3 linked regions of the Struthio camelus genome follow. The protein of the gene in region 3 interacts with the protein of the main gene of each other region in a biochemical or structural test. Links are inferred from orthologs where the notes say so. Each region holds a gene or a part of one and is shown on either strand. Other genes may lie near its edges.

Region 1 (7,387 bases), on a different chromosome or scaffold from region 3:
CAGCAGCTGTCACCAGCCACAGAGATTTTCCATTGTTTATCATGTTCTCAGATCAGTCAAGCCCACTTTGAACCAGAGCAGAGAACAGCATGAGAGAGTTTGCAAGTATATAGCTCCCACTCACACAGCTCTCAAGCAGCTTCCCAGCCCCTGAGCTGGAACCCTACTCCAAAAAAAAAAAAGCACTCAGCTAGACCCAGCCACTTGCTGCCCTCCCCCTGCCTTTCAGCAGTCACTGCAAACCTGCAAGATGAAGCACAGCACAACTTCCTCAGAGCTGCTCCAGAGCACCACTCAGCCCCAGGGACACGCACAGAGCAGGCAGGACTATGCAGACCCCACCCCACCTGGCCATGCCACTTTGGGCACAGCAGCACCAACTTACATGACACAGCCCAGAGACCACACATCTGACTCAGGCCCATGGCCCTGTCGCAGCAGCACTTCGGGGGCCAGGTAGTTGGGGGTCCCACATATTGTCCTGCAGGGCAAACAGCCAGGTCAGTGTGTACTTTGCAACCAACCTCTCCCTGTCCAAGCCCTCGGTTTTAGCTCACAGCCTGTTCTCCCCTGTCCCATTTTGCTCTTTGGGGTAGAAAGGCTCCATCCATCCACAAGAGCCCCCCACACATACACTCCCTCCCCCCAGCCCCCAGGGGTCAGGAACAGCTGTTCCTGGAGAGCTGTTGGGAAGAGCTTGTCCTCAATACAGCAAGGAACAGAGCCTTTGTGTCCCAGCCCCGCACACCCGGCAGGGCAGCCTGGCAGGCACAATAGCTATAGCAAGCGCATTGTTCTCTCCAACGGCTGTGAGCTCTGTAAGCCCCTCCAGGCCCCTCTCCCTGGCTGCAGCCATGGGCCCCAGGCAGCTGGGGCAGGAATGGCCCCAACCACCACCACAGCCAGGAGGGTGGCTTGCCCCTCTGCTTGGGAGGCTGGCCAGGAGGAAGAGAAAGATGAGCCCTTGGAGGACAGCTCTGGAAGAGGAAACTCAAACTTACTTTTTCTTCTGGTCAGAGATATCACGACAAGCAGCTAGACCAAAGTCCCCCACTTTCAGCTCCATGTTTTCATTGATGAAGAAGTTGCCTACAAGACAAGAGTGACGCATCACCAATCACTGTAGAGCAGTCCAGTGCTCATACTGCTCTTCACCCTGACAGGGACACTCACCAAGCTTGAGGTCCCTGTGTAGGATGCCCTTGAGGTGGAGGTATTTCAAGCCTGAGATGATCTGTTTGAGGTAATAGCGCACTTCTGGCTCCAGCAGAGTATGGCGGGCCTTCCAGATGTGAGCCAGGGACTGCAGAAGGAGAGAAGACAGTTCAGTGACTGCAGCCAGGGAGAACAAGCAGCTGCACCCACTAGGCAAGGGACAGGCAAAAGCTAGTTCTTCCAAAAGTCACACATCCACAGATAATCCTTCTGCCATGGCCATGAACACAAAGGGTTGAGGTCACCACAGGATGCTCAGCACAACCAGTGGATTTATGGGTGGCACCACTAGGTGCTACAAGTTACCAACACAAGCAGATACCCTGAATAGGAGAGGCAATCTAGGGTGTCTCCAATGCAAGCAAACAGCTTGTGGCTGAGCAGAGTTAGCTCAGAGGATGGAACAGAATGGGCAGCAGTGGAAACCAGGAAAAACAGAGTGCTAATGCAGCTCCTCAGATACAGCCCAGCACCAGCCACCTGCGGCTTATTTTAGGGCAACCTTTGGCAGCCAGCACTCACCTTCCTACTGCAGTGCTCCAGGAAGATATAGATGTTTTCTGAGTCCTCAAAGTAATGAGAGAACTTGACAATGTGCTTGTGGTGCAAGTCCCTGTGCAGCTCAATCTCATTGGTGATCTGAAAGGAAGCAGGGGCCACAGGTGAGCGCAGGGCTCTTGCTGCACCCCTACCAGCCAGACACTCCCTGCCAACCCCACACCACTTACCTTCTCCCGCTGGTGGGGTTTAGCCACCCGGCTGTGAGGAATAACCTTCACAGCATAGGTTTTGTTGCTCAAGAGGTCTGTCATTTCATAGCATCGTGCGAACCCCCCCTGCAAAGGAAGATGTGGTTAGGAATTGCTCTAGCCTCAGCCACCACAGGTGCTTATAAGCCTTCTCAATTGTTCCCTTGCAACACAGCCTGGAGAACATCATGAACCTCTCCCTCCTGCTACATTGCCCACTAAGATCTGAACTACAGTGCTTTTGACTAGGGATTTTCTTTATTCAGTTCCTGTAAAGCCTCCAGGGCGTTTTTCCTCCCACCACAGCAAGGCTCTGCATCTTTCCATATGACAGGTCACCTGGAAAGTCCTGCACCCGCCAGGAAAGTAGAACAGGCCGGGAGATTTGAGGCCACCGAAAGCGAGCAGCACAGCGACAGGTTTTTCCTGCCGTGATGTCAGCACGCGGATCTGCACACTCAGCTGCTGAGCCGCCCCGGCCGGGCTGGGGCCGGCCCGCTGCCTCCCACACGCCGCCCCGAGCGCGGGGCCCGGCCGGCCGGGAACGCGGCGCCCGCGCTCCCACGCACGCCCCGAAACTCGCGGGGCGGCGGCCTGCCAACCAGCCCCGTCACTCGCGCCCGCCTCACCGGAGCCCCACGGACCGGGCAGGGGGCCCACCCGGGGTCCCCCCTGCTCCCAGGCAAGGGGGAGCCAAGCGCGGCGGGGGGGGGGGTCACGGCGCTGAGCAGCCGGGCCGCTCGCCCGCCCCCCGGTCCCGGCGGTACCTTGCCCAGGAGGCGGCCCTTGCAGTAGGAGCGGCCCGAGAGAGGGTCGGTGATGATGCGGGTGGTCTCGGCCGCCCGGGGCGGCGGCGCCGGGGCGGGCTCGGGGCGGTCGCGGGGGAGGCGGGCGGCGGGGAAGGGCGGGTAGAGGCCGGTGGGCTCCATGGCGGGGTGGGCCGGGGGCGCCGGGATCCTGTGCCGCCGCTGCCGCCGGACCCGCGCACGTGGCGCCGCCGCCGCCGAGCGCTCCCGCTGGGGCGGCAGGGAATCCCGCCGCCTTTATCAATGGGCGGAGTGACGTCACCACGCCCCGCCCATCCCCGCCGCTGCCGCCGCTCTTAAAGGGGCAGTCGCACCGCGGGGCGGAGGTGCGGGGAGAGAGGGAGGGGGCGCGGGGGCACGGCACGGCACGGCACGGCACGGCACGGCACGGCACGGCACGGCACGGCACGGCAGTCACACCTGCCTTCCCCCCCCTCCCCCAAACCTCACCCCACGTCTTGGGCTGCTCGAGAGGAGCCCGCGGGCTACGCGCAGTCCCCCATCGGAGATAGCCCCCTATAGGCACACAGGCCCCCTACACGTACCCCCCATAGATATACGGACCCAGCCCCAGCTACAGCGAGGCCTCGTGGACGCACAGGTCCCCGCAGACGGACAGACACCCATAGACTTGCCGCCTCCCCAGAAAGAAACGCCCCCCCCCCCGGACACAGGCAACCCCCATAGACACGCACCGCTATAGACACGCAGCGCCCCATGGACCCAGAGACACCCCCCCCCATAGACACAAGGACCCCCCCGCAGACACACGGAGCCCCTCTCCCCATACACACCCATAAAGATAGACGCAGCCCCCCCTCACCCACAGCACACACGCACTCAGCCCCTTCCTCCCACATTGCGTCAGCCCCACGGGCTTGGGCTCCTCACCCCCGGCCCTCCCAGGAGGGAGTCTGCAGCCGCTCGCAGATTTTAGCAGCCAGCCTGCCACCGGGTTCGCAAAAGTGAGTGAAGCCCAGAGTACGGACGCCCTAAGCACCCGCCGTCCGCCCTGAGACGGGCGTCTGGGCAAGGGGGAGATGCTGGCAGGCTCATCGCGGGGTGACGGAGCGAGGCTTCGCCCCGGCTGTAGCACGGCCCAGGGCCCTGCTGGCCCTCAGATAGCCCGGAAAGGTCAGTCCCCAGCACCCCGTGCCCAGAGAGTGCCCGGTGGCCAGCCCAGGACCAGCAGCACCGTCCCAGGCAGCCAGCCACGGGGATACGCATGTGTCCGGGAGAGCCTGGCACCCTGTCCTGGGTGTCCCCCTGCCGAGGCTGCTTCCTGGGGGCTCCGGCGCATGTGTCCGGCTGGCTTGCGCTGGCGTGGGCAAGCAGGACAGACATCCAGGCAGCATGGCATAGCGGTGCTGCTCTCTAATGGCCACGAGCAGGACTGTGCGGCGCAGCCCCTGCGCCCGCGGCCCTGCGGGTCTGGTGTCTGCCGTGGTCCTCCTGCGGGGCAGAGCCAGCCTGGAGGTTCGCTCCCCTCGCCACGACTTACAGCCCACGCAGGGGATGCTCAGCCCAGAGGCTTGGCCATGGTCACAGCGGGATCCTTGTCTCCGTCACCCAAAACAGCCCGTGGTGGGGAGCTGCAGCAGCTCTCCCTCCCCACGGGCACCCAGAGCAGGCAAAAGCAGCCCCACCCCTGTGGCCACCCGCCCTCCCAGAGCACCCCCAGCAGCAGCATTGCCCCTCACAATGCTGTTGTTCTTTCCCTGCTGGGTACCGCTCAAGGGGTGACCACTGCCAGTCCCTCGCTCTGTGCCTCAGTTTCCCCGTGCTGTGCTCCCCCTCTGCTTCCCCGAGGCAGTTTGGGGGGCTCCGTGCACAGGTGCTGGATGTGTTTTTGAACGCGCTGAGGGTTTTGTATGAGTACACCCCTGCCAAATAGCCCGGTGCTTCCCAGCGACTCTCCTTTCAGCCTCGGGGGGGCAGGGAGAACTCAAACCCCTTTCTCACAGCAGCAAAGCGGAGGCCGGGGAGGTGTGAGCTCGGATCCCTGCACCCCTCCGCCACCCCGTCTCTCTGCCTGTCTCTCAGGTTTCCAGCTTTCGTACAGGAAGCACGTGCAAACCTGCTGCCACGGTGGCAAACGCGTGCCGGGAGCAGGCAGGGAGGCCTCTGCCACTTCAGAGAAACCAGCCTGTTTCCACCGGGGCCCCAGGCTCCCCAGGGCACCAGCGACGTCACGGGGCAGCTCTGTTTTTCCGACGGAGGCCCCAGCTCGGAGGCTGCCGGGAGCTCCCCAGCAGAGCTGAGTCAGCATCTGGAGGCAGCGGGGGGGGGGGGGAGGCACCCTGGGGTGCTGGGAGAAGGCTCAGGGGACTCGCCCCAGGGTGGTGGAGCAGAGCGGAGCGGGGCTTGCTCAGATGCTCGGGGGGAGGCACCGCGGGACACAATGGCTGAGAGCTATCCGCTCTGCTCCTGCTCACTGCTGGCCCTCGGGCCAGGCTTGGGGGGTACGGATGGGCCCTGCCTCCTCCCAGGGCTCAGGCACCTCCTCTCCGAGACGGATGGAGCCCTGGGAGCAGCTCCCTCCTCCACCCTCTGCCTCAGACCTGTGAGGAGAGGATGATCCGAGCCAGAGCAAGGTGCTGGGCAGCCTCTTCCTGCTGCTCCTCTTGCCAGAGGCCCAGCACAACTTCTCACACTAGTGGCCAGGTGGACACATGCAGCAGCAGCCCAGCATGCGCAGCTCTCAAGCCATCCTGCCCACATGCACCCTCCTCCCAGCCCTGCCATCGCCTACCCCAGCCTCGCCGGGTCGACTCCCTGGAGGGGCATCGCAGGGAGCCCCAGCACCGGGCTCCTGGGGATGCTCACAGCAGAGCACCCGTCCCACGTGTGTGTTTGCGTGCGCATGTGTCCCTGTGTGCAACCCCAGGGGGACCGACCGGCCGGCCCTGCTTGGCACGCTGGGGGCAGTCAGCTTTTTAGGGCAAGCCAGTCCCCAAGCGAGAGCATCACATCCGCCTCCTCGGGCCATGCCCGCCGCCTCCCTGCCCACTTCCCTCCCTGGGGGCAGCGCTCAGCCAGCACTGCTACCTGCATGCTGGTCAGGGACCGGCCTTCTGCGAGAACAGCCGGGAAAAGTGAGAGCATTTGATCCTGGGAGCAAAGCGATGGAGGCATGGGAGAGGAGTGAGTGGGTCAGGTGGCCAGGAATAAGACAGGCAACAGACAGCTTGCCTGAGATTTTTGAGGAGACGCTGGTCCTGGAGCTACCTGACTGCTGGGATCCTGAGGCTGGGACTAACTAGGACTCCTGAACCAGGGACGGACTTGAACACTGTGAACTCAGCTGTGGCCCTGCTGTTCCCAGGGGCCACGTGGACAGGTTGGGGCACATTCCTCCCTTTAATGAGCTTGTTCCCCCTAAATCAGCTGCAGGCTCACTGCTGTCAGCTACAGAGGGTGGCATCTTGCTGGGCTCAGTCCATGAAGACATCTTGTCCTCCAAGGCACCCGATGTGCAATGGCAGGAGATCCCACGTTTCACCCTATTCTCCCTGACCCCACAGTGCCAGGACTTATGGCCTGTGTGACTCCAAATTGCCCGTGGCTAGCTGGGGCCAGCAATGGTCCCACTGCGAGCGGGGGTGCCGCAGGAGAGCCCCCACCAGCCCCAATCATGTTCCAGCACCCACTGTAGCCAAAAGTGCTCATTCAGACAGGAGTTTTCCCATGCATCAGCTTGAGGGGGTGGTGAGGACCGTGTGGTTTAGTGTCAGCAGTCTGCTCTGTCTGGAGGAGAGAAGGCTTTGGGGTGATCTTACTGCTTGTCTGCAACTGTTTGAAGGGAGTTACAGGGAAAATGAAGCCAGACTTTTCAGGGACATGCACAGTGAAAGCATGAGAGGCAACGGGCACAAGTTGCATCAAGGGAAATTCCAGCTAGATGACAGGAAACTTTTTTTTCCATATGAGCGTGGTAAAACACTGGAACAGAGGCCTAGCGAGGGTGTGGGATCTCTATCCTTCACGGTATTCAGAACTTGCCTGGATGAAGCCTGAGTGACCTGATCTAAGACTGAAGATGGATCTAATGTCAAGGCTGGCTCTGCTGTGAGTGGGGCTGGACCAGTGACCCCAGAGGTCCCCCCAGCACACACACATTATTCGGTGCTGCTCAGCTCCAGCAGATGCTGCAGGTCCATGAAGCCTGGGAAGGTCATGTCCACGAGGCCCTCTCAGACAGAGGACAGAGCTGCCCGTGCAGCTCCTCATGCCTGGGGCTGGACCGTGCACCCGTGCGCGGGCTGGCTGTGCTGCGCCGGGTGTGCTGCCAGCTTCCCGCTCTGCCGGCTCAGCATTTCCGCTCCCTCCCTGCAGCAAGGCCTCCTCCGCGGGCACCCAGAGCACTCGGGGAAACGGCAGCCAGAGGGAGACTGTGACCCTGCAAGCTGCCCCCCAGTGCTCCTCCCCATGCCTGGGCTCCCGGCCGCCCCAGCTCCTTCCTCCTTCCCTGGGACGAGCCACGGTGCTCCTCGGAGCTGGGAAGGCCATGGGGCTGAGATGCCTTTGCATCCCCTCGCTTCTGAGCCGTTGCCCTGCCGAGGCCAGGAGCCAAGAGCGCTCCTTGGATCCCTGGCCCCGGGTGAGCCCCGCAGTGCC
Region 2 (7,565 bases), on a different chromosome or scaffold from region 3:
ACACCTTCACAGTATCTTGAAAATAAATTTTTGGGTCTAACCCTAAACTTACTAACCCTTTTTAAATATAGAAAAGGAAATGAGACAGTTTTGCTGCACAGAATCCTTTTGTACAGGCTTGAACAAGCACAATTGCCATCACGTTGGCATTTTTCAATAGCAAATTTTTCACATTAGCCACAGTCACGGCGATAAGAGTATATTTTAGTTTCGCTTTTCCTCAAATTACTTGTATTTTGAATTCAGATTGGTCTGCAACACAAAACACATTCAAAACAGTTACCTTAGTCTTTTTTTTTCCCCAGAAACACAGCTGTGCAATGAAGATTGAGGTTTAGATTAAACTGTTCACTCAGAAATGTTTCTTTCTCTTGCTATTTCATGCTCTTAAAAAAAAAAAAATCTTTACCACCTTTATTTCCTTGTTTCTATCCACAATTCCCTATCACCTTGTCATTCCTTGGGAAATTTTTTTCTGAATATATTTGTCCTGCTCTCCAGAATCTGTTCTTTCTGCTGCTGTTTCTTTGTCACTGGCTGTCTTCCATGCTGCCATATGCACATTCCTCTGTGCCTCCTTATATCTTGTTTTCCACCACCTATTTTCCTTTTCCGCTGTGTTTCCACACTCTTTCCTCCTCCAGGGAGTTTGTCTCTTCCTCCCCATCACTAATAAAACAGGTATACTAGTGTCGTCTACTGAGTCTACCTTCTCTCTCCGTTTTGGGGAAGGAGGTCTCTTCTGCCTCGGTTGCTTCTTCTCCCATACGCAGGACATAAAATACTGCAGAAAATAGAAAAGATCTGACCCTCTCCTTCACTCCTGTCCCCTAAGCAGCTGACAGCCACTGCTGTAAAAGGCACTGCCAGCAAGGAGCTACTCTACCTTTGTGGTGAGGAGCAAATTTGCAGGCAAATGGTCAGTTCCCAACTGTCCGAGTAGGAAGTTCCTGTGATCACAGATCATCTGGGATGCCTTTCCTCTCAAAAACATGACCTGTTGCCACAGATTCTTCAATCTCGAACTTTAAAGGTTTGATAGCTGTGAGTAGCTTTTGGGGAAAGTCACTGTGAATGTATTTCCACTTTAGTAATATATGCATTGAAGTGTCTCAATAAGAAGTGGTATGCGCTACCTTAAAAAAAAAAAAAAAAGGCAAGCAAGCACTGACAATTAGGCCTCCTCTATTCCACAAGAATTACCAACTGCTGAACGTGGTTACCTGCAAGCATAGACAATGATAATTTCTGTTCACCATCATTCTGGAGGCTAACTCCATTTTCAAAAATGCAAGTATAGGCAGGATAAACTATGATCAGCACACTTAAACCAGATTCAGCACCAGCCAAGCCTTTGTCAGCAGTGGTAATCTTCCAAATAGAGAAAAGACGATAAGGGGGGCCATGGCCCAAAGGCTGTCTGACTGCTTGGCACTTCTAAAGCATCTTCCCACCTGAACTTCAAAGAGTCCCATGAATATTAACTAATTAAACCTCACTGAAGTGAAAGAGAATCAAGGGCTCAATTCACCTGCCAATATACATCAGGCTTTAGGGTGGAAAAACAGTTAGTTGAAGTAGCAAAAATGCTATATTTTGTAGCAAAAAATAGAACCAGAGGGTAATTTTGCATGCATTTACAGGTGCGGGCGTAATTCAGACAAACTAAATATCAGATTAAAATTTAATTTTCGTAATGTTTAACAGCATGCATTTAGGTGCCTTTCTTAACAGCTGACGGTCAGAATAGCAGAGAAAGCCTCTTTGAGGAATGTAGTACTGTATTGTTTCAATGGATTTGACAGGGAGGGATTAATCTGAGTAACCACCCATACCACTACCTACAGGTATTTCTGTGGTCACCAGCCCCAATTACAGCGTTTAAGAGATCTGCCTTAATCAAAACCTAAGGCAATTCATCTGCAAGCAAGACAACCCCTGTACGTTAAGTCACAAAGATCACTAAAGAGAAGTGTTAGTCCAATATTCTGAAGTGAGAATGAGGTGACTTAAGTGGAAGACATGTAAAATCTAACTTCAAGTGCTAGAACACACAGCTTGTGAATAATTTATTTCCTCAAGCACTTACCAAGTCTTTCCACCATTAAGTTATCTACAGTGGAGTTTGAATTAATTATGTTAGGAACCTGATATGAACAGTTTTCTAAAGTGATTTACTGGGCGGCCTTGATACACGTGAGTGGAGCTTGAAAACCTCAGTCAGGTTTGCTCACAGACTAGAGTAATTATCTGAATAAACTTTGTCAAGTACTTTGTAGAGTACCCGACAACTTCACCTCTCCCCATGGCATAGAAAGGGCCACACAATATTTTAATTATTTTCTCCCACAAGGCAGGAAGCTCATTGAGATTTTACAACCAAATATGCTTAGTTGGCTTTTTGCTTAATATAGCCCTTAGCCTGCAGGTTGCATCAAGTGCTAAAACAAATACAGATCACAGAAGTTAGAAGTGCCTATTATGCCAATAAAATCCAAATCCCTGGTAATGCAGCAATTGTTCCATGCAGCATGTTTTCTAATGCTTTGTCTGGTCTTGTTTTAAACAATGGGGCTACCATCACTTTTCTTGTGCTGAACAATCCAGCGGTTTTTCCTGATCTTTAACCAAAGCTTCCACTTTTCATGCCAATCCAGAAGATAAGCACCCTCCAAAAAAAAATCCTCTTCTATCAAGCTTGACATCTGACTTATAAAGAACATCAGGTAGCCTTTGTAAGGAGGTAAATACAAAGTTTACTAATCAACTCCTTTTAGACCTATCCTGGGTGACACCTCCCTTCTGCACAGCTGCTTACATTTTGCCCAGAGGATAAACAGAATAATGGTCAGACGGGAGAACACAGTGGGATCAAGTAATTTTTAACTTACAAGAATTATAGTTCCTATCTGCAGAAAGGGACTCTCCCACTGAGCTTCGTTTTTGGCTATCTGCTCATGTGGCAGTACTCTGTTTTTTTTTTTTTTTTTTTCCCTCCCCTTTAGCACGCGACCTGTATGATTGTTAATACAGCGTTTGACTTAAGCTTGTGAATGAAATGGCATGTTTTAAACAAGGCATTTATATCGCTAAGCCCTGTCTGCCGAAGGGAAACAAGAAATGAAATGAAAGCAGGAACAGGCTCTCTAGCCGAGAAGGTAATTTCGGAAAGAGGACCTTTTAACGCCATCCGAACAGGTGACCGGCAGAACAGCGTCATTATCGGGTAGAACCATGAAAATTAAAACACGGAAAAGGCCCTATTATCTAGGTCACCGAGCCCACCCCTACCACAGCGGAGTTACTGCCTGCAGTCTGCTGACTAGCAGCTTCTCCGGCCGCTGCCGGCCGGCGGCCAGGCCGTCTGTGAGGGGGCCACAGCATCGCATGGGGCCTCCTGGTCTCCGCCGCCGCCCGCGGAGCCTTCCTGTGCCCTGTCACCACCCCCTCCCAAAACCGCGCGACCCAGAGACACCTGAGGGAAAGGCCGCAGCGGGCACTGCCCGGGCAGGGATGCGGCGGAGCGGGCCGCCACAGTTCAACCCCCCCTCCGCCTCCTCCTCCTCCCTCCCCGGGCCGGGAGACCCCCGCGGCGGCCTGGGGCGGGGGTCGGTCCTCTCTACACCCCCCCCCCCCACTTCCCGGCCCCGGGGGAGGCTCCCTCCCCTCCCTTCCCCCCCCTCCCCCGCCGCGGGACTTACATTTTCCGTGTCGCGCTCGTTCACCGTGGGCAATGGAGTCCGAGTGGACATTTTACTTCAGGCGGGCGGCAGCGCGGCGCGGCTCGCCACAGCCCCACACACACACACACGCGCGCGCACGCACAAAAGCCCCGGCGCGGCCGCGGCCCCCCCGCGAGGACGGGCTGCGCTGCTGCTCCGCGATGGTGGTCGCAGAGCGCCACCATGAAGGACGGGGGCGGCGGGGGGCGGCGTCGCCTCGCTGTCCCCCCCCCTCCTCCTCCTCCTCCGCGGCACCCCACGCCCCGGCTAGATCCCCCCGCGGGAAAGCAGCGGCGTCTGCCCCTGGGCGCCCGCCGGGCTCATCCTAGGGCCGCAGCAGGGCGGGCGGAGGGCTCAGCGCCGGGCGGCGGCGGGCGGCCGGGCTCCGCATCGAGCGCGGCGGCGGAGCGCGGGGCAGCCGGGCAGGGCGGCGGCGGCGGCCCCTCTGCTCCGCCGCCGCCGGGGCACGGCGGCTACAGCGCACTCAGGCCGGCCCGCCCGCCGCGGGGGCTCGCCTCTCCTCGCCCCTGCAGCCCCGCTTCACCGGGCCTCCGCTCGCATCCTGCTCCGCCTCTCTCCCGCCGCAGCCCGCCCGCCCCAGGCTCCGAGAAGGCCGGCGTGCCCCGGGCCGCAGGCCGGGCTGCGGGGGGGAGGGAGGTGGGTGGGTGACTGACTGGGTGGGTGCCCGCCCGCCTGCGCTACGCTCGCCTTCCTGCCCCCCCACCCCGCCCCGCTGCCGCTCCCGGACCAGCCAAGATGGCCGCCCGGCTTCCTCCGCGCCGAGCCCCAGCTCCGACATGAACCGGAAGGGCCCGCCCCGCCGCCTCCCCCCCGCCCCAGCGCCGCCGGGGGGCCGGCGCCGGCGGCCCTGCAGCCCTCTAGCCCGGGGCCGGGCCGTTGGTGCCCGCACTTGGCCCGGTGCTGCGGCCGCAGCGTCCGCCGCCCCCTCCCGCCCGGGGCCTCGGGCCGCCGCCGCGGGGCGGGGGGGCCCGGAGCGCCGCCGGGGGCAGGGCGGGGATCGTGGAAACCCGCTGAAAGTGCTGGAAACCGCTGCTCTGTAGGCAGGATGCGGAGACGGATCCGGCTGCCCGCTCGCGGGAGCGTTGAAATCCGCGTGAACTTGGTCGCTGCTTGGCCAGTGTTGGGAGCGAGCGGCGCCCGTGGCCGCCGGCAAGACTCGGGCCTTAACAGCCTCGCTCTGCCAAAAGTTGTGTTGGTCCTGGCTAGCCCAAAGGGGGACGAGGGGGGCTCACCGAGCCCCTCGCAGAGCTAAGCGGAGCGCCGTCGGGCTGCGGCTCCGAGGGTTTTACTGCCCGCCTCGCGCCTGGCTCGTTGGCTGCAGGAGGGCGAAAGTCGGTGCAGTCGGAGCGCAGCCTTCGTGCGCCCTGGGGCCGGCGGTTACTTAGCGCGCGCGGCCGTTTTCGAGTGTGCGAGGCCTTGATGCGCTCACGAGCAGAACTAATGAGGAATTAAAGACTACAAAGAAAAGTAACTTGCACATACTCAATGTACAGATGGTTTAGAGACAAACGTCCGTTTCTGGGAGTTTTGGTGGTGGTTTTTTTGGGGGCCGGGGCGGGGGGGGGGAAGAAAATGTGAGCCTCCGTAGAACAAATGCTAGTTTTGGTGAGATTTGTAGCAACTTGGCATCTCTGGAGATCTGGCACCACAGCGATAACATTTCGCCTTTCTAAAGCGTAGCTTATCTGACAAACTTTGTCTCTTACAAATATTTACTAGCTTAGCCTTGAAATCCATCCTGTTGTGTAGGTAATAGTTTCCTTGCTTTTAGAGACACAGGCAAGGAGAAGTAGCCTTTGAACACTGCCCGATAAATGAGTTGCTTGTCTGTTCCTTCATCATCAGGGCTACAAAATTCTCCGTGACACCTGACCCGCAGAAGGAGAAAACCCAACGGACCTGCAGAGAGAGAGAGACATCTTCCCGCCTTGCTCTCAAGTTAAGCTGACTCCTTGCCCTGTATCAACTACAGGGATTTGGGGCTTGAGGAACGCTTCTCTCTTGTGCAGGCAGTCGTGTTTGCCTACGTCTCCACGCATCCGTGTGCATGTGTGCTCAGATTCTGGGTGTCCCTGGTGCAGCCGCTCTCCTTCAGCAGCAGGCAAGGACCCTTTGCACTGAGAACGGGGTGGGAGTTGCCTCTCTCTGGTTTGCCAAGGTCGGTCACGAAGCCTGAAGGAAAGCCAGGAAAAGTATCCAGATCTGACTCTCTGCTTTTGCTGCTTCTTCGCCTTTTTTTCTTTTCAGTTGCCAGTAGAATATGTTCTTTACAGTACGTTTATGAAAAATGATAATTGACTTATGACAGAGTCAGGAAAAGGGTAAAAATAGACTTGGAGGTTTACTTGGGTTGTTAACCTGACTAACGCTCTCCTCCTGCGTTTGTGCGACTCCAGCTAACATCCGAATACTGAACTGCAAGTGCTTAAGGCTGGCAGCAGTTTTCAGCAGCACGCCAAGTTCAGTAGCGTTGCTGCGAGTGTGAGTTTACTTGTCCTGAGTGCCGGCAGAATTGAGGTCTGTGTCTGTGCTGAGACACCAAGTGGTACTAAAATAAGCTCGGCGTAATGTTATTAATCTATACTAATATCACCCTTCCACTCAGATAAAATTTAAACTATGCAATTATAGATAGTTAGGTGAAAGTCCTAGACCTGTTGATGCAATAGGCGTTCTGCTGTTTACTTCAATAAAGCCCACATTTAACATTCACAGCCCAAATAAAAAGGGGCAGGGGGGAAAGAGGAAGGGGGAGTAGTGGGAAAGGAATCTTTGTTTCTCTCAGGATTTTACTTCTGATTGGCAAAGTGATTTTGAAGAAAGAACTTGAGACCCCAAAGATAACGGCTGATTTTGCTGCTCTATTGCCAATAAACAGCAGCATTGATTAGTGTTGTTTTTTTCCACATAGCAGGAGCTTGCACAAGGAATGACAAATTGCATAGTAGCTACTTTCTTTTATGTCTCATTGTTGCTGTATGGTCTGTTTCTCATGTTTAAGCAGACGAGTTGATTTCAAAGTGTATTCACTTTCTTTGTAAAAATGCTGCCATAGTCAAAAAAAGATTGCGTGACTTTCCTATTTCGTTGCTCTCTATAAATATTCTCCGTGTTATCAGGCACTGCTCAAGTTGAGTTCACAAATCAGAAGGTGATTTTTCCTATCTAAAGGCTCTGAAAACTCAGAGATCTCAGCCAAATTCTGGTTTCTGCTTCTTGTGTTATCACTAGCGATAGTGACAGAGATTTTGTAGGTGGGACTTAGATGACAACGTTTGTATGCCCTCTAGAATAGGCTGCAGCTTACGTTTTGAGCTAACTGTTCTATAATGCTAACAGTTATAAAAACTTTTTATTAGTAAAATTGGAGAATATGACTCAAAGACACACAGGAAACAGATATGCTAGTTAAGGTGCCGTTTTTATGTCACTTTCTTGGCTATCGCTGCGCACTGAAAACAAAAGAATGCAATACAAAACAACACTGTTATCGTGAAGAATTTAGATTTTTTTTTCCTTTGGAAAATGTCACGTCTATTCACTGTAACACTACACTGAACGTACACAGTCGACCATAAATTTAACAGCATTTGTGATCAGAGCAAAAATGGTGGAATTGAGTACAATGTGTGGGAGACATAAGGAATATTTTTTGATTTATTCAAAAGCGTGTTTTTTTGAGTTTTCATTCTGCAAGAAAGGTTGCAAATGCAGAACTGACTGAGGTATTTATATTCCCCTTACCTCACTTTAAAGGCTGGGCGCATCAGCTGGTAGAGGCAAGTAGAGAATCACCTAATGTAATTGTTATAGCTGCCTCAT
Region 3 (7,746 bases):
GAGCCACTGCCTGTCCAACTCGGCCTTCACAAAAGAAAACCCACAATCATCAAGGAAAGGTAAAACAAACTTTAAAGACAAGATACTGGGGGAGACTGGGAGCCTAGACTGAGCTTATTGCCAGGGCCCAAGATACTGCAGCCCTGGAAACCCCTAGGATTGCCACAGGGATCCAGAGGAGGTTATTCAGTGCTGATCCCATGCTGCTAACTCTAGTCCTTCCCCATGCAATAACCTGCACTTAGCCTAAAAGGAGGCGTTTTTCAAGCCAAATCTGTACCTTGAGGTGGTAAGATAGTAATAACCTGATTACAGGAGCCTGAGGAAGGAATTGGTAGTTTTCAGGTGGCTTGGTTAATGGTATAGAGCCTATCACACAGGAAAACAGTCACTAAGAAGAGCTGTCTGAATGTTCCAATTTTTCTAACCATCTGAATAAGGAAGAAAAGCCCCAATCCCGTGACATATACCCAACTCTTGAAGATGTTCCGCATCACAGAATAGGGCACTAGCATTCCATATGAGTTAGTGTGTTTCACAATGAACAGCTGTAAAATTATCCTAAGTTCCCCAAAACATTCACAGTTCACTTTTTAGTCTAACAATCCCCATCACTTACCAAGTCCAATGATGCCCAAAGTCTCCCCACGGATACGCACAGCGCCTCCAGCCACTTCTCGAATCTGTTCTACGCTTGAGGCTCGATTCCCTTCCCGCATAGCCTGATGTAGCCAAGTAACACGGCGATAGAGGTTCAAGATGTGACAGAGGGTGGAGTCAGCAGTCTCCTCCACTGAGGAGGAAGGGATGTTGCAAACTGCAATGCCTACAAAGCCATAGAGTTCAAATGAGATGTTTAGCATCACAACACTAAACCAACATACGTCTCTTCAGGCACAAGGGCTAGAAGATAATTCTGTGTTTCAGAACGACTGCCAAGAAAACACACAGGATACGTTTCAGGATCTGATCCTATAGCAACATGGATGGGACCAGCCACCATTTTAACCTCCAGAAAATACCATTCCTTGCTTATAAATCCATTAGATTGTCACCACCAGCAGAGAAACAGGTTGAAATGAGAAAACTGGGTCATACAAGTGACAAAAGAAACTATTTTAGAAGGTCTGCATCCAAAAGATGCACTTACACCAGAGGTATTCCTGACAGATTAACTGACAGATTGTAGAAGAATTAAGGAGACAGATGGTTGAGCTCTTTCATGCCTCACACTCCAGATGCCCGTTTGCAAGCTTCAGCTTCCCCAGGAGCGACAGTAAGTAACTCATTAAACGCAGACAGAAGCCATAGGAGCCTCTCAAAATCCATTTGAAATTACATTTAAAAATAGCAACATATAATGCTCCCACTCCAGAATCAACATACAGCCACAAGGGACCATAAAAGCCATGGCTAGGACCATCAGGTAAGTTACTAATGCCGGAGTTAAGGTCCTGAAAGCACACATTACTGACAGCAAATAGAAAGATGTCAGAGCGCTATAGCAAAACCTGGTCATTCCTGAGCAGTCTACCAGAATAACAGGCTGATAACATCACTTCACTGCTACTATCCTTTATTCAAGGAACCTCTACTCCTGAATGGGCACATCTTAGAAGAGAGTGTTTCAGCTGACAAAACTTTTGGTAGGCAAGAAATAAAAACAAGATAGTTAGGTCAAAAATGGGCCTCTTCCCAGGTGTAACCCTAGACACTTGCCAAACCAAGGCAAGTCCACCAGCTACCTGAAAACTAGGAATGAAATCTGGGTGATGGGTGAAGGCACGTACAATTCCACAACACATCACCCTCTTGAAAGCCTGTGACAGAGCAGACATTCAAATAAACTCAGACCACACTCTCCCAAGGGAATGAGGAAAGCAATGCCCATACACAATCCCAGATATCAGACCTCTTTTCTCTATCCAGTCCTTTTGCAATCGTGCCATAATGCCACACAGAAGACACAGAGGAGATGAAGAAGGCAGATAGGGAAACCTAACTTCTTTTAATCTCGTTCACTGGTTACCATCTCATTTGACTTCAAAAAAGCTACGTACTTTCATCTGTTACATAACTAAGATACAAACATTCACATGAAACACGATGTATAAATATGGAAAACCCAAAGGGACACCACAACCCTTCAGTCTGATTTGAATATTCAGAACTCAAAGAATAGTATCATGCCTCAAAATGAATTAAAGGGCCTGGCTAAGCCTGGAAACAATCGTTACCCATCCATGAGGAGACAAGAATGGCCATGCCTAAGGGACACCAGACTGTCCCTCCAAAGTGAAAGCAGCAGTTTGATGGCAAAAGAACTCTGATCTGTTGTTAATGATTGCGGAGGGCAAGAAAAGGGAAAGCTTTGAATATGAATGAGTTGAAAATATGAATCGTGACTATAAAAAAATAGAGAACCCCTAGGTATGGGCTGGCTTCCATGAACTCAACCCCAAAATGTAATGGCTGGATGAAAGCCAAAGACCTTGCCAGGAACTCTTGAGAATATTCAACTGAAGCATTCAGATGAAAAGACTCTTTACACCTAATTCAGGTGCTACAAAGATGTGTGTTCTTCATTTATTTGCAATTTCCCTCTTCTTACAGATCTTGAAATTATGTTGCCTGTTTGAATTTTATAAATATATGCTTGCATTTGGTTTAAGCTTAAACCTATTTTGCATTAAGAAAGGTGTCAAACCACAGACATAACCCTAAAAAAGAAAGCACAGGGCATTCAAATGATGGGCCTTCCCAAGGAGCCTACAAGGTCCAAATGCCTCACTGCCATGTGTTTAATAAACAGCAGCTTTTTGTCATCTGACCCAGAGACTCTCCGCATACCTGAACTCCAGACTTGTAAAGGGATGTATAATAAGGTGTTGAATCAAAACTTACCTGCATATAAAAACTAACACAAAAACTCAATAATTGAGCATTTACAGTGGGTTTACCCTACATCAACATTTGCAGCCTTTTAGACATCACAGTTTGCTCAGTGCTTTTCCCAAAAGCAACCCTAAATTACCTCACCAATGAGAAATTATCTAGACATTGTATATAGGTTTCTGAATCCCAGACAATAGCAAAGGCTCTGTGACATCTATAGCAGAGTATTCTGAAAACACAAAAACTTCCTTTCGAGCCACCTACCAGCTCAGACGTTTATCTTTTTCCTAAAAATGCCTCATACTAAGCAGCTCCAAGTCTTTCTACTTAAAGGTTTTAAACATACTCAGTTAAAAAGCAGAAAAACGTGTGGCGTTCCTCTTCACATTCAGTTATAGTTGCAACAGAGCCCCGATGGTGTTGTCATACCTAACTCTGCAGCTGATTTGATGTCAACGTTGTCATAGCCACTGCCAATGCGTACAATGACCCTGAGGGCTTTGAATTTCTCTAGATCCTGACGAGACAGGGTAATGGTGTGATACATCAGAGCGCCTACTGCCTCATTCAGCACCTACAAATAAAAAACAATCTCAATCAATTCATCTCTCTTTGCTAACTCTCTGAGATAACTCTCATAGTTAGCTAGCTCCATGCCCAAATGCTTGCATGTTTTCATTCCCACCTTTTCATGGATTTCCTGAGTTGACTGAGCATCACAGAATGCCACTGTAGCAACATCCTTCAAGATGGGCATCTCCACAGTGCAATCTCTTCCATCCAGGAGCGCAACCAGAGGACGAGCTGGCATTGGACCATTCACAATAGGCGGTCGTATGCCTATTGAAAAAAAGTGGGCATGAGTGACTACATGAAAGACAGGAATCCTGAAGCCATCATTTGCATTAGTATATACATGTGTTTACAGCGGTCCAACGGATCACTAGTTATTTTAAACTTCTGCAGCATTTAGGCAGGGATTAGTCAAAACAAAAGAAATAAACAGCAAGCAAACGCAGGAAAAAGAAGCCAGGAAAAAAAGTACTCTGCTGTTAGTACTTTAATAGATAAAGGAAAACGCGCTCTATCAATAACGAGAGAGCAGAGAAGGTCTCCCGACGAGCATGCCATCTCACTCCAGGCTTCCGAAGTCCCGGCAAAGCTGCCGCAGGGCCGAGCCCCCGGGCCGGCGGGCCCCGCCGCCCCCGCGCAGACGCCGGCTCCCTCCCGAGGCGGCCCGCCAAGCCCCGCCGCCTTCCCGGCGCGGGCCGCGGGGAGGCCCAGCGCCGGGCAGCGGCCGCCGGGCCGGGTCGGGCCGGGCCCCGCCTCACCTTCGCAAATCCGGTCCAGCCGCTGCCGCTTCACTTTGTGCCGGTCCATGGGCCGGGCCGGGCCGGGCCGCGCAGCCCCGCGGCGCTGCGAAGGCACTCGCCGTCACCCGCCGCCGCCCGCGCCCCGCTCCGGCTCCCGCAGGAAGCGGAAGGGCCGGGCCGAGGCCCGGGCAGCGCCGCGCCGCGCCCCGACAGCCATAGAGGCGCCGCAGCACAGAGTGCCGCTCGCTTCCGCTTCCGGCCCCCGGCCCCGCCGCCGCCGCCGCCGCCGCCCCTCCTGGCGCCGGGGCTGGCGGGGAGGGAGGCGCCTCCCAGCCCTGCCGCTAGGAGGAGGAGGGACGGCAGGCGATGGCCGGAGAGGGAGCGGAGGGGCGCGGCCCTTCCCGCCGCTCCCGCCCTGTTCGCCCCGCCCCGCTCACCTGGGCCATCTGCAGCAGCTGAGCGGCGGTTGGGTGCTGCTCCGGGCCACCGCTCCCGCAGCGCCTCGGCAGGCTGTGAGCGGCTGCGCTGGTACCCCCGCCGCGCAGGCGGGGAGGCACTCCAGCTCTTGGCAGGGCCCGCATCCAGCAGGGGACAGTGGGAAGCAGCACTGCAGTCTGTAAGGCTCCGAGGTGTCTCCGGTTTCCAGGAACTTGCTGATGAAGAGTCCCAGGTTAGACCCAGGCTGAAGAAGCGGGGGGGCTCTGTCCATTACTGTCTTGTGCGCACAGGAGAGACAGCAGAGGCTTGGCTGAAACTGCAAACACAGGCTTCCTGGGCCTGGCTCAGCTCTGCCAGTGCAATTCCTCAGGAAGTCCTCAGAAACAGTGAGCAAATGGCAGCGCCTCTTGGGAGGGAGAACTGAAGTCTTTTCCAAAGTAGAGTCCTCAGTAGATGTCCGAGATGCAGTTTGGCGTTCAGACAGGTGCCTTGGCTGCAGGGAGCCTGTCAGGAAGGGTGGCTGCCAAAGCCTGCGTTGCCTGGAAGGCTGATCCTAGGATATGGGGTCAGGACCTCCTAGGAAGCTCTCTCTGCATGAGACAAACAGGAAGCCAGTCAAAACATCTCTACTTCTGCCTTGCCACCTTTTCAGCCATATTCCCCATGCATGTCCTGTGGTCCCGTGAGGGGATCAGCACCACAATATTCACCCAGCATTTCTACATCCCATGTAGCAACAACCCCTTAGAGGTAAGGTCCTACTTTTACCTCTCCACTGGGTGAGGGATGTTCACTGCCTTTCCTGGAGGAGGGTTTGATCCCACATGTGTGCTGACTGACACCACAATCGCTCATGTCCCACAGGCAAGGGAGCTGTACAATACCAGAAGGCAGCTAATTTTCTAGCTCACCCACTACTCCCCAGCTGCTGTGCAGTCTCCATTTCTATTGTTACCTGATGGCCATGAAGAGCTGGAGCTGCTTATTTCTGGGCAGGGGTCTCAGAGTGTGTAATCTTTACTCAGATTTTTCTTTGACTAAGTGAGGAAGGGGTCTCAGAGTGTGTAATCTTCACTCAGATTTTTCTTTGACCAAGTGAGGAAGGATGCAAACATTGGGGGAGAGGTGAGGTGGCAAAAAACATTATGCAAATGGAGGAAGACTCAGGGGACAGGACAGAGCAGGTGGGCACACAAAGACTGACAAATCTTCCTCAGCCCAGCCTGTATTCTGGATATCCAAAACTTACTCACTTTTCCCTTAGCAGAGCATTAAGATACTTCAGTTGGAGTTTGGATGTAAAGGAAGAGAGGTGATCACCTCCTTCACTGTCCTTGTTTCTCAAAGAGAAACTGAGCAGAAAGAACTTTGCTGTTTAGGTGTGAGTGAAGACACGAAACCGAAGCGCGGCAGATGCCAGCCACAAAGGAGCACATAAAACAGTGCGTGTTTACTTCCTGATTGGCAGTGGCCACTTGATTCCTGATTGGGATCCCAGGATGGAAAGGGACTCCGAGTGGGAGGCAGAGGAGGAGGGCGAACAAAGACGGGCTGGGCAAGGCCAGAGGAGCGTGATCCGCCTGTGCTGCCGGGCCCAGCCGCCCAGGAGCCCCGGCAGCACAGGGGTCTGGTGGGGCGGGCCGCGGGGGAGACCCAGCCGCAGCGGTGGAGAGCGGCAAGCAGGGCCGAAGTCACGACTGCGCTGCCCCGCCGAGGTGGTCTAGGAGCGACTGGTGGGTAAGGACCAAGGCGCCCACCAGGCAGTGGCTCCTCCAGCGCCTGCTGCTGCAGCTGTTCCGTGACCAGCACGAGCATGGCGGCCCAGCCCGGTCCGGTCCCAGCAGTGCAGGTCAGGAGGGGACAGGGCCCGCTGCGGCCGGGCTGCTGTCCCGGTGGAGCTGCTATGGTGCTGTCCAGCAGTAGCAGGGGCAGGTGGGCACCTCTCCCGGGCGGCGCAGCCAGGCAGCAGGGTCATCCTGGGGGAGCCACGGCCACGCGGGTCCCAGAGGCGCTGGCTCGAGCTGCGGGGCCGGGGTACAGAGCAGCCGGTGAGGGTGTCGGGCCATGGTGGTCCTGCACCCATGCCCGCCGCTCGCGCGTACCTGTCCCTCCACTGCACCTCCTGAAAGGGCTTCTTCGGACTGCAAGTCACCAGAGCACGCTGCTGTGGCTCCCAAGAGAGTGGCCAGCCCCTGCCTTTCAAACAAACAGCTGTCTCATTCACCAGTCCAGCAAAGAAACACCATCAAGTTACCTGATGCATTAAACACATCGCTAGGCAGGACTGTTTCTCTGAAACGCGGTAATTGGCCAGGACCCCTCCCTCTACACCACAGCAGAATGCTGCTCGGTGAGCACTACGATAACAGACCTAAGCCCACAGCCTAGATTTGCATGTCCCAGAGGGTATCACACTCCAGCTCTTGCAGTACTGATGGGACAGAGATGGGCAACTGTGCAAGCACAGGGTACTCTGCACCTAGTCCTTCAGTCTCAGAAAGCAGCTGGAAGGATTGCAGAGGGGGTGTTAACGCTGCAGACAGGGAAGCAATGGCCACAAGAGCTGGCAGGCATCAAGAGTGTCTTAGTCTCTCCTCTAAAGAGACCTCACATGCCACAGAGTGCAAAATCTCACGAAATGCCTGCTATGCACACTAAGCCTATTCCCTTTAATAAGCTTGAGCTGCCAGAGAATGGAAGTGTGACGGACACTGGCAAGTGAGAGCACAGAGGAGGATCCACGAGTTTGAACAGGTCTAATGTTAGCATGACTGGACTTCTCCCTTTCTCCTTCCCTCAAAGAGCATCGTTCTTACATACAACTGAGTAGGCACCTAGGGCAACAGATGGAAGCGTCTTCCAGAAGTCTTTGTTCATCTTGAGCAGGATACTTGCTAGGGGGATCCCAGGCATGCAGAGCTCGTCTCCACAGCTTGATCTGCATGTCCCAAGAGCGACGACTATATTTCTTGTATTTGTTTGGTGTTTGAGGGTGAACTCCTGGCTGCCGAGCAGCCCTAAGAGCAAAGCACAGTATCATCAGCAATTAGGAACCTTCTTAAAATACTCTCATCTGGCAGCAAGTCTCCCCGTTCCCCCC

What was found. The genes of interacting proteins can lie anywhere in the genome.
Region 1: of the proteins of CDC25C (region 3) and PLK3, one has a biochemical effect on the other in vitro, tested with the Homo sapiens proteins (2 studies listed by BioGRID, with this or other methods). The link is inferred for Struthio camelus from reciprocal best matches to the Homo sapiens genes CDC25C and PLK3.
Region 2: of the proteins of CDC25C (region 3) and MARK3, one has a biochemical effect on the other in vitro, tested with the Homo sapiens proteins (3 studies listed by BioGRID, with this or other methods). The link is inferred for Struthio camelus from reciprocal best matches to the Homo sapiens genes CDC25C and MARK3.

The regions. Positions count from the first base shown.
Region 1 is NC_090949.1:26,919,856-26,927,242, reverse strand, and holds the start of PLK3 (serine/threonine-protein kinase PLK3), read right to left. Parts: upstream 3,016-7,387; 5' UTR 2,894-3,015; coding exon 2,732-2,893; intron 2,052-2,731; coding exon 1,944-2,051; intron 1,855-1,943; coding exon 1,738-1,854; intron 1,304-1,737; coding exon 1,174-1,303; intron 1,090-1,173; coding exon 1,002-1,089; intron 482-1,001; coding exon 386-481; intron 1-385. UniProt on the Homo sapiens protein: Serine/threonine-protein kinase involved in cell cycle regulation, response to stress and Golgi disassembly. Polo-like kinases act by binding and phosphorylating proteins that are already phosphorylated on a specific motif recognized by the POLO box domains.
Region 2 is NC_090946.1:72,266,365-72,273,929, reverse strand, and holds the start of MARK3 (MAP/microtubule affinity-regulating kinase 3), read right to left. Parts: upstream 3,016-7,565; 5' UTR 995-3,015; coding exon 887-994; intron 785-886; coding exon 710-784; intron 1-709. UniProt on the Homo sapiens protein: Serine/threonine-protein kinase. Involved in the specific phosphorylation of microtubule-associated proteins for MAP2 and MAP4. Phosphorylates the microtubule-associated protein MAPT/TAU. Phosphorylates CDC25C on 'Ser-216'.
Region 3 is NC_090954.1:300,684-308,429, forward strand, and holds the start of CDC25C (M-phase inducer phosphatase 3), read left to right. Parts: upstream 1-4,746; 5' UTR 4,747-4,878; exon of another isoform or gene 4,879-5,202; intron 5,203-7,746. Other genes in the region: C-terminal-binding protein 2, read right to left, coding at 1-24, 620-826, 3,325-3,469, 3,581-3,735, 4,227-4,275. UniProt on the Homo sapiens protein: Functions as a dosage-dependent inducer in mitotic control. Tyrosine protein phosphatase required for progression of the cell cycle. When phosphorylated, highly effective in activating G2 cells into prophase.